Linked DNA regions of Mus musculus: region 1 is reported to be linked to region 2. Evidence: microRNA targets listed by miRTarBase, many of them from high-throughput screens and not tested one by one. Region 2 holds a microRNA gene; the other region holds the end of a gene's coding sequence.

Evidence for each region. Region 2 holds the annotated microRNA mmu-miR-7211-5p (UCUUUCCCUCUGCCACUCCACC, at 3,687-3,708, opposite strand). A microRNA usually pairs through its seed, bases 2 to 8, with sites in the 3' UTR of a target mRNA and lowers its output. Matches are read on the target gene's strand: a 7mer-m8 pairs with bases 2 to 8, a 7mer-A1 pairs with bases 2 to 7 and ends in A, and an 8mer does both.
Region 1: miRTarBase lists Xylt2 as a target of mmu-miR-7211-5p. The part of its 3' UTR that is shown has no 7-base or 8-base seed match.

The regions. Positions count from the first base shown.
Region 1 is chr11:94,659,649-94,665,001 of GRCm38, forward strand. Xylt2 (xylosyltransferase II) reads right to left here. Exons shown (of 11, transcript NM_145828.3): 11 at 4,199-5,261. The coding sequence ends at 4,939. Mrpl27 (mitochondrial ribosomal protein L27) reads left to right here. Exons shown (of 4, transcript NM_053161.2): 4 at 1-439. The coding sequence ends at 167. Among named protein-coding and RNA genes, the nearest start is that of Mrpl27, 8.5 kb to the left of the region's middle.
Region 2 is chr10:94,582,492-94,587,862 of GRCm38, forward strand. It overlaps Mir7211 (microRNA 7211), which reads right to left and starts at 3,708; the gene lies at 3,646-3,708. It overlaps Tmcc3 (transmembrane and coiled coil domains 3), which reads left to right. Exons shown (of 4, transcript NM_172051.3): 4 at 4,237-5,371. The coding sequence ends at 4,539.

The sequences.
Region 1 (5,353 bases), not on the chromosome of region 2:
AGGGGATAGTCCGCTACACGAAAGATGTCTACGTGCCCAATCCCAAAAACACGGAGGCTGTGGATCTGGTCACTAGTCTGCCCAAGGGTGCTGTGCTCTACAAGACTTTTGTCCACGTGGTTCCTGCCAAACCTGAGGGAACCTTCAAACTAGTGGACATGCTTTGAAGTCCTGTTGAGACCATTGGATGGAGCCTGGAGCCCAGGTCACAGGAACAGTGATGATGGAAGTCAAGGGTCTGGGTGAGAACAAAATCTCCACAGAAGAGGCTGGAGAGATGGCTCAGCAGTTAAGAGCACTGACTGCTCTTCCAGAGGTCCTGAGTTCAATTCCCAACAACCACATGGTGGCTCACAACCATCTATAATCTCTTCTTGTGTGTCTGAAGACAGCAACAATGTATGCGTATAAACAAAATAAATAAATATTTTAAAAAAGAGAGATGGAAAGGGACAGGACAGGTGGCTGCTTCCTGAGGGGTAGGCAAGCAACCGTTGGATAGAAGTGCAGCAGTGTCCTTGAGGGCTCATAGCTTGGTGGCAGTTGAAGGAATTAGAAGGCAAAGGTTTTAGCCCTCTCCCCATCCCCATGTACACATACCCTTCACACTGCTCTTCAGGGTCACCCATTGCCGGTCCCTCGAAGGCTTTCCTGGTCTGGGGTCTATCCACAGAGGCAAAAGTACCTAAGGGCTTTGTAGCCTTTTCCTTGTCCTGCCCAAGGGCACTAACAGACACCATATAAGAGTTATATGGGGTTGCCAGGCGTGGTGGCGCACGCTTTTAATCCCAGCACTCGGGAGGCAGAGGCAGGCGGATTTCTGAGTTCGAGGCCAGCCTGGTCTACAAAGTGAGTTCCAGGACAGCCAGGGCTACACAGAGAAACCCTGTCTCGAAAAAAAACAAAACAAAAACAAAAAAAGTTATATGGGAAAAGCTGAGTTCTGCAGGGCACCCAAGGCTTAGAGGGCCCCACACTCTACACAGCACTACACAGTCAGCTGGGGAAATCTGCCCCAGTGGTTTTGTCCAACAGTTGGGCACACAAGCCTACTGCCACAGGGTTTACTGGTGGGTCCTGGGCAGCCTCATACAGGCTACCTCTCTGGGGACACCGTTATGACCAAGAAAAGCAGAGCAAGGAAGTCTTGCACCACTGCTACCCAGCTTCCTTTGCTCCTACTGATGGGTCTGTGGCCCAACCTACCTTGCTCCTGCTTCTACAAGCTTCTGACATCTCTCCCTCCACTGCCTTCTAGCCACATCAGACCCCTTGCCTGGCTGCAGGATGCTAACACATACTTCATCCCCCACTTAGAGACAGCAGTGCAAGGATCCTCATTTACATGTCTGCTCATTTCCCTGGATGAACCTGTGTAGGTGGCCCATTGGTCGAGATAGGGAGGAGCTCAGTCTTAGGATCCAATGCAAGCCTGGGATACAGGCTTAGCCTCTAGGGGAGCAGAGTCCTATCACTTCACCCCAGTACCCATCTGCTCACTCCTGTTTCTTCTAACAGCCCTCAGCATGTCTGGGAAGCACTTAGGTGAGGAAGAGAGTGTGTTCCTTTCTGGCCATTGGCTCCATCTGCTCCCCACAGCTCTGATGGCCTTTGGACGGTCAGTCTGAACAGCATTTTCTGTCCTCACCCTCCATCCTCTGTCTGGTGCTCAGAGTTGGGAGTTGAGAGTCTAGGGCTGCAGCTCAACTTTATTTTTGCTTCCTGCATATCTGCTGTGTGATGCCCTGTCCCTGTCCCTCAGGAGAGGCCTAGCAGTGCTGGAGTTGCCCCCTCCAGTCCATAGAAACCTGCTCTGGCTTTCCTCCCTGGGGCTGGAGAGCTAGGAAGAGACCTTTGTCTTCAAGGAGGGTTCTCCAGCAGTTTGTTTACCAATGTAAGGGAGGGGCCTGGCCAGGATGCTGCAAACATTTCCTACTGCAGCTCTGAGCTAGAGGGAACCTGGGCTATCTCAAAGGCCCCTTCCCTAAGGAACAGTTGCTTCTGTTAGGCCAGAAGATGGGGCCGTTTGGTCAGCACCTATGAACAAAAAACCAAGAGCAGCTGTAGCCCAATGCTGGGAGCCAGAGACAGGCTCCCTGAGGTTTTCAGGCTGGTCAGCCCAGCTAAAAGACTCCAAGCTGTAGCTTCAATAAGAGATCTGGTCTCAAAGGATAAGGCAGAAACTGATAGAGTGGGATCCTGGCATTGTCCTCTGGCCTCTGCATGTGTGCACATTGGTGTGTGCACTCCCCCAGCACATACATTAAGTGTGTACATTAAAAAACAAAACCCGGGGCTGGTGAGATGGCTCAGTGGGTAAGAGCACCCGACTGCTCTTCTGAAGGTCCGGAGTTCAAATCCCAGCAACCACATGGTGGCTCACAACCATCTGTAATGTGATCTGACTCCCTCTTCTGGAGTGTCTGAAGACAGCTACAGTGTACTTACATAAAATAAATAAATAAATAAATCTGTTTGTTTAAAAAAAACAAAAAAAAAAAAAACAAAACCCAGTACTCAGAACTACTGTGCTGTGGGCTGCTTAAGTGGGCCCGGGTGTGGCCGCTACAATGCAGTCTCCGATGCAGTCTATCATGGTTTACCGCCTGTAGCTCATCTGCTGAATCCAGCTGGTAAGTTTCTGTACCTGACATAAGAGTTGATATTGGTAAATTAAAACAAAGCGCCAGTGGTGGCACACGCCTTTAATCCCAGCACTTGGGGGGGGGCAGAGGCAGATAGAGCTCTAAGTTCGAGGTCAACCTGGTCTACAGAGCGAGTTCCAGGACAGCCAGGGCTACACAGAGAAACCGTGTCTCAAACAAAACAACAAAAACAAAAAACCCACCACCACCACCACCACCACCAAAAAACCTACCAGAACAAATAAATAAGAAGGGGGTTGGGGGGGAGGAGCCACCCACCCTAACCACCTGGAGAGCTAGCATCAAATGTTCATTAAAGTGGGTGACAGAAAGCAAGCATCTTCTCTGGACAAAACACCTTGTGTGCTCCTTCCCTTAGCACTTCCTGACTGGCCAGCCACACCCTGTGAGAACTGCAGAGTGCAGCTACAGAATGGCCCTGGAGGCCTCCACCCCTTCCGAAGAGCATCAGGGGCTCTGACCCTAGGGCTCATTTTCCAGCTCTCAGTCGGGACTTGCTACCTGAAGACTGGCAGTCCCAACCTGCAAAACCACCCACCCTAGTGCTGTTTGTTGGTGGTCAGGAGCGCCCTCCTGGCAACTGGGAGATCGCTACACCTCGCGCAGCCATCAGCTAACGTACTGTACTCCCTGAGCTAAACTGAGCCTTGCCCAGTGTGGCAGCTGATGACATGATCTTAGAGGTCCAGAAACCTCCATCCCTACTCCCACATTATGTGAGGCATGAAGAACTAATGCTGAGCCCTTCCTTACAACAAGAAGAGAATCAGATGGGAAGGCAGCAGGAACTTAGGCACCATTCACTCAGGTCCTAGGGCCATAAAGGGAAGCCTACAGAACTAACCAGTAGGCCATAACCACAAGAGCCTCTCCTGAGCAGGCTACAAAGGCAAGACTTAGGTAGCGAGAAAGATGTATGTAGCCTTGGGGAGGGGCCTCGGTGATGCCGAAGGCCCCTAAGCTATCATTTACTGCAGTCTGGCCCAGTGGCAGCAGTGGAGGGCCAGGTGGGGCTTTTTAGACCCACAGCTAATGCTGGCCTGCTGGGTAGCAACGAGGATTTTAAGCCTCCCAGGCCCCATTTTCCCTGCAGAAAGAAGCCTCCACTGCAAAGCTGTCTGGCTTCTGGTTGGATTTTTCAACAGTTCCTGCTACAGGGACTGTTACTATTTCAAGCCTATCAGAACTTCTAGAAATCCAGGGGTCAGCCACCGCTCCCTCACCTACAGTGGAAAACACGAGCCCTCAGTTTGCCACCTGGTTTGTCAACTTGATACAAGCCGGGATCATCTGGGAAGGTACCTCAGTGGAGAAAATGCCTCCATTAACGACTGTTGTGGGAGGGTCCCACAACATGAGCCCGGGGAGCAAGCCAAAAAGCATTAGCTATGGCCTGTGTTTAGTGCCTCCCGAGTCCCTGCCCTGGCTTCTCCTTATGATGGACTATAGGCTGTAAGACGAAGCAAACCCTTCCGTGCACGTGCCTTTGGTCATGGTCTTTGTCATAGCAGCAGGAAGCAAACAAGGACATTGAGCTTGGAGAGATAGAGATATATTTCCTCTGTTGCATATTTCAGACTTCGCACTGAGCTTCAGGCACAACTCGACTCTTGTGAGAGCTCTGACAGACAGCCTTCCTGTGCCGCCAGTGGGCTTCCTCCTCCAGTAGGGAAACTTCATGGATCTCAGCAGGCCCTGATGGCGCGCATTTCCTAGGGAAGCCCGAGAGCCGGCCCCAGCTCTGCTCTAGGGCTCCCTGGCTCCCAGAGGAGAGGCCTGCTCACTAAAGTCCAACTCCACAGTAGCCCCCACAGATCACCTGTCCTCCGGGCCTCAGAGCCTCAGCAGTGCGCAGTTCAGATGCAGGCTGGGGATGGAGGCTCTGGAGAGGGAGGCAGCCCATGCCTCCCCAGAGCAGAAACCGATATGCTCTGTGGTGCTCCCCATGGCCATGGCCCATATCCTGGGGCTGCTCTGAGCCCTATTGCACATCGTCCTCCCTCTGCCACTCATTTTAATTATTAAAAAAGTATAAACTAACGAGGAGCAGAGGAAGATCCTCCTCATGGCTCCAGTGGACCGCTGGTCTCTTGCAGGGCCGTTAGCAGTAGGGAGTACTGCACCCACCTTCCCTGCCCTCAGTGTAGGTTCCTGTTGGCTCAAATGGGCAAACTGCCTGGGCCTCTGGTTCTTGTCTGTGGGAGAGATGTCCCTCCGTTGTCTGTAAGGTGCAATTCCCCGGCTCCTCCGGGTTGTGCTGGCTGGGGTCCTGCTACCTGAGTCGCCCGTCAGCTTTGACAGGCCCCAGCTCTGACTTGGGGTCAGGAGACAGAGAGCTCCAGCTGGTCAGTCTGCAGAGCTCCAGGGAGGGACAAGCAGAAGGTCCTATGGCACACAATCCTGCCACAGACCAGAAATTGCTCAGTTCCCCATCTGTCCAGGCCTCAAGTGCAGAACCCGTGAGCTCTGTGTGCCTCCGGGCAGCCTCCTCCAGGGCCTCTGCCTGAGGCAGATTCAGGATGCCACTTAGGCCCTGGAAACTCTGCTCCATGTATTCGTTGTGGGGTGGTCCCGCATGCAGCCAGCTGGCATCATCTGGGGGTACAGAACAAGCAGTTAAGCAGGTCCCGCGGTCCCATGGGGACCAGTAGTCCCGCAGTCCCATGGGAGTCAGGGCTGAACACAGT
Region 2 (5,371 bases):
CCCAAGCATTCCGTCATGAGGGGCAAGATGTTCATTCTCTCTACATAGATATTTCCCATCCACCCCTTGGCCCTGTTGGCTTATGTTCCCTCTGTTACCCGGTTGCCTAACTAGTGGCTATACCACTAACCTAATTTCAAAAACTCCAAAACATTAAGAAACGTCACCTGTTAGGCAGCCTGCCTTCAGGAAGCTTCTTGCAGAGGCTGGAGTAGTCTAACGGTATACCAGATGGCTCTAGCAAGGACGCTACAGTGCCCCAGAAATCCAGTCCAGCTATGCTTGCTGGCCGGGATAGGAGCAGGGAGCAGGGGCTAGCACTCGGACATTTCCTGGTAAATTTTGGTTTCGAGTCTATTATTTACCAACTGTTTGGCTCTGAGCAAGCCTTGAGTCTGCTTATCTATAAAGCAATTGCTTCGTATCTGTGAAATCGCCGAGCATGACTGCCAGCCCCTACTAAACCACTGTACTTGGTACTTACTCAATAGCCCTTTGTAATCGCTCTTATTGTTGGTCCTGTTTCTCAGATCTGGAGACTGAGGTACAAAAAGGTGAAGTGACCTGTACAAGGCCTTGCAAATTGTCCCTTAGGAGTGACTAAGAAGGCGGAACTGAAAGGGAAAGGCAAGGCCCAGAAGGTTAGCAGGAACAGATGTGTAGATCCATGTAACAGTTATGTCACAAACAAAAGCCAGTGCTGAACTTGCTCCTGAGGTCCCCAGGCTGCTATGGAAGAGCCCTAGGCTTCTTGGTCACCTTTTGAAAGAAATCATAACAATAACCAAAATCAGTAATGCCCTTTTTCATATCTTCTCTGTAGTCGGTGGGAACTTTCTGAGCTTAAGAAAGGCTATCCACGCCCTGAACCCCACTTTACAAGGCAGTAGGCTGAAGCATCAGAGCACTTTCTCCCTGGGGCGCATGCTGCAGTTCCGCTGCAAGCATTTTGTTCTGCACCGGTGGAGTCTGGGTTTGCTGATGCCAGAGGTCTATTCAGACAGTTCTGGGAAGCAGGGCTTTAGCACTGATGGGAAACATTGTCCCCAGAGAGCAGAGGACACTGGGAAACTACTCTCTGTTCCCTGGGTGAGGAGCCTCAGAGTCTCCACTGACTGACCTGGGAGACAGAACTCTCATCTGTTAAGTGATTCTATATAGAACATTTTTTATTATACTTACGTGTGTGTGTGTGTGTGTGTGTGTGTGTGTGTGCATGCGCGAACACGCATGCATGTCACAGCATCATGTCACACATGATGACTGGAGAACAGGAGTCATGTCCCTTCTTTCTACCTTGTGGGTCCCAGGAATCAAAATCCAGACTTGGCAGCAAGTGCTTTACCCACTGAGCCATCCCACCTGCCCTTGGCCGTCCTATCTTAGAACAGGTCTAGGATATCACCGGGTGGTGTCTAAACACACTGTTTCCTCTTTTAGGGGATGGTTTAGATTAACATTGTTCTCTGCTCTTTAAGAAACATATTCTGGGAGCAAGGAGGTCAGATCAAGGGAGGGCCCCCACAAAAGGAACTTGAACTTCTGAGGAGTTCATTTCCACGGTTTTTCTTCAGCTGCACCTCTAGTCAGAGCTATGAAGAGCAGCTCTGTCAATGACAGAGGTCACGGAGGTTCAAAGCTGGCTCTACCACTCTGTCTCTGTGTGAACCTGGCTAAGTCAGTGCTGAGCGCCTCCGACTCCTCGTCTTCAAACAGTCAAGCAGATCAAATAGAATCAGATATTTGTTGTACCAGGGTCTTCTTCGCCAGACTCATAATAAACAGCCAAGAAGTTAATGCCGGGGTCCCTTTTATCTTATTGTTAAATAGCAACATTCCTCAAGGCTCTTAGCCATTGATCTCTCTGGTCCCCATGTCTGTGGTTCTGGGAAGTGAGCTTCCAATGGGATAGGCTGGCATGCTGCACGTAGCAAGGGCCCACAGACCCACAGTTTTTGCTGTTAAGTGACCGATCCCCCTCATCCTCTTTAAAATCCTGAATATCCAGTTTAAACTACTAAAGATAACCCCGCCCTCTATGTTCATATAAAACAAGTTAAACACTCAACCAAAGAAATCCTAATTATCATGGGGCAAAATCTCTCCATGTCATGGGCGAAATGCCTTAACAATTCACTACCTGATTTTCTTAGATTTTTCTTTGAGTAAGACATCGGTAGCAGTTCTAATGTGAATTCTAAGATGAGCCTAAGGAGATGTGGACCTCTCTACCCTAAAACTGAGTGAAAGGGCCAAACATGACAGTCCTTTGTCTTGATCTGTCACCCTTTTCACGCCATATCTAAAACGGAAAGGGGAAAAAAAAATCCCGGGCCCCATAGCTGAAAGCCAGCCCGCCCTTCTGCACTTGCCTGTTAGTGCCGGCAGCCAGCAGCGCTTAAATGTGAAGATCTGAGAAAGTTTTATCCTTTGGTCGGCAGCCTAGTATAATGAAAGTTGCTATAGTAACAGAGAACCCTGTTCTTTAGCCAAGCGAGTATATTCAGCGGGAGAGAAGCAAATCAATGTTGGAGCCATTACACCCGCTTAAAGCCTGGAAAGGTGACCGCACGCAGCTGCACAAGCACATTGGCAAATGATTGCCACAACAGACTGGTGGAGGAGCAGGCACGTCGCACTGCCTCCCAGGAGGCGTGGGCTCTTCCTCTTCGAGCTGACATTCCTGTTACTGGCACCCTGGCTCTCCAGCCACCTGCTGCGTGCAGCACTGCTGTTCTGAAGTGGACAATGAGGGCTGGATGAGCCTCGTGCCTGACCGCATGCAACTTAGGCGCCTCTCAGCTGTGCAGGAAGGCTGACTAGAGACAAGATGGGTCAGGGAGGGCTTCCTTCGGGGAATGTCTGTAAGGATGAGACCTCAGACGTGTGGCAGATCCACTGGTGAAGAGAGGGGTGCTTAAGAGTTTCCGGCAGTGGGTACTGCACAAAGTCCCCCAGGCATTTTTTGGAACCTGGAAAGGGTCAGTTTGGGCAGAGCAGTGGATGAAGGCAGGATAAGATGGCTGCACACAGACCAAGCAAGATTCCGAAAGGTCTTTTATGAAGAGGGATGTCAGAAATGTATATCTTTCAAAAGTCACATGGACTGTGGCAGGGAATATGGATTATGGAACACACCATGTGAAATTCAAATCACAGCAAGCAAGAGGTCCCGGCGATCCCTAGTGAGTGGGGACTGCAAGAGAGGTTAATATTGATTAAGATGGACAGTGCCGGCTGCATCGGCAGAGCCAGCTGATGGCTGGACAAGAGACATGTCAAAGGATGCTTTGGGGTTTCTGTCATAAGAGGCCTAAGTGGTGTTCTAAGAGAAAGAGTTGGGGGTGTGAGGACACAGGGTCACTGCTTGCAGGGCAAGGTACACTCCATAAACATACTCGTGACTGAGCTGCACAGGGGCGTTTTCCAAAAGCTCTGTAGATGTGCAAGTCAGCCTCCGAGGAAATAGCCAGGCTGGGTAATCTACTCCGAGTCACCCATGTGATGTCGCTTTAGGAAGTGAAGCATCAGGTTGCACTGGGCCTGGAGAGACAGCTTGGGCTGCTGCTGACTTAAGGAATAGATTCACAAGGCTGATTGAAGCAGAGCGGCCTGCTGTTGGTCCAGTCGTTCCCCTTAGCATCTGCATCCTCCCTACAGTCACTCCACAGACACAAGCTCCCAGCGGTGGAGTGGCAGAGGGAAAGAGCAGATACCATGGATAAGGGTTGAGCAGCCTGCATCCCAGAACACAGATCCAGCTCCGCCCCTTTTCAGTCCCCTCCTGACAGGGCCAGCAGACACCGGTGTTTCATGTCACCTCTTCTCAAGTACAAATACATTGAGAAATGAGCCCTTATGACCGGGTATGATGCTATTTGACTGTGACCCCAAATCTCAGCACTTGGGAAGGTTGAGGTAGGAGAATTGGAAGTTTAAGGCCAGATTGGGCTACTTCACAAGAGACCTTGTCGCCAAAAAAACAAACAAAAACAGTAAACAAATAAACAAAAGTAGACCACCGTAACTCCTCCCTTATGGTGTTTTATGGTTGAATACATGTAGGAGTCTTGGGATTCCTGCCTTATGACTTCCTCTCTCACCGTTGGTTTGGGGATTTGAATCTGCTGAGGCAGTAGATGCTCTGAGCTGGAGCTTGGGGCACATCTGGGCACGTGTTCCCGCAAGGCCTGTGATTCCAGCTACGTCTGACCCTTGCTCTCCTCTCGCCCGCAGGAAGCCTTGGAATCTTGCCAGACCCGCATCTCTAAGCTCGAGCTGCATCAGCAGGAACAGCAGACCCTGCAGACGGATGCCGTGAACGCCAAGGTCCTGCTGGGGAAGTGCATCAACGTGGTTCTGGCCTTCATGACGGTCATCCTGGTGTGTGTGTCCACCCTGGCCAAGTTTGTCTCGCCCATGATGAAGAGCCGCTCCCACATCCTTGGCACCTTCTTTGCTGTGACTCTTCTCGCCATATTCTGTAAAAACTGGGACCATATCTTGTGTGCCATAGAAAGGATAATCATCCCGAGATGAGCCGCTGCTTCCTGCCTTCACATCCTCTTAAAGATTTTATTTTGAAGAAAACCCTGTGCATACTACCAAAATTTCTGAATGGACGGCTGTGCCAAAGACGGCGCGAGAGGGACCAGAGCTACGTGCGGTGTAAATAAGTAGAGACTCTTAACCCAGTAGCAGATGCCAACACTGTCCCTGTATGTGGTTAACGTGAAACTGTCCCAGAGTCCTCCTCAAGGGGCTCACTGCCTTAATCAGAGCCGATCTCGAGCCCACCTGTTGAGCTCAGCACAGCAAAGCCCTTGTTCTTTGGGCGCCATGATTGCTAACTGCTGTGTTCTGAGTTCCCCCTGACCAGCAAGAATATGGCTAGGACTTGGGGAAGTGAGCAAACAGGAACTGGCAGGGTTGAGCTCCTGGGGGCCTATGGAAGCTCAGTGAGTCTCTCTGTGATCTCTCCTACTTGTCCATGGGTGGCTCTGTGCCCTACTATGTACCCAGTGTTCACAGCGGTCAATGGTGTATGTCCTCATAACGTGGGAATCTTCTACCTGCTTATCCAGCCGTAGTAGTGCACTTTACAAGGTAGACACTGGGATTTACAGCCAGGCTTTCCTCTTATGCCCAGAGCACCACACACCTGATTCCATCTTGCGTGGTTAGCAGTGCTCTGCCCTCAGAGCATTCGGCTGGGCTGTTGTCAAACTGTAGCTTGGGTAACTCAGGGTCCTGCGAGCATCCCTGGGGAGGCAGTGCGTAGGCGACTGTTAACTGTGATAAATGCCCTGAGACGACAGGATGCACTTTACGTGATTCACTTTACTTGCGGGTCTGTGGGGATCTGACTGCA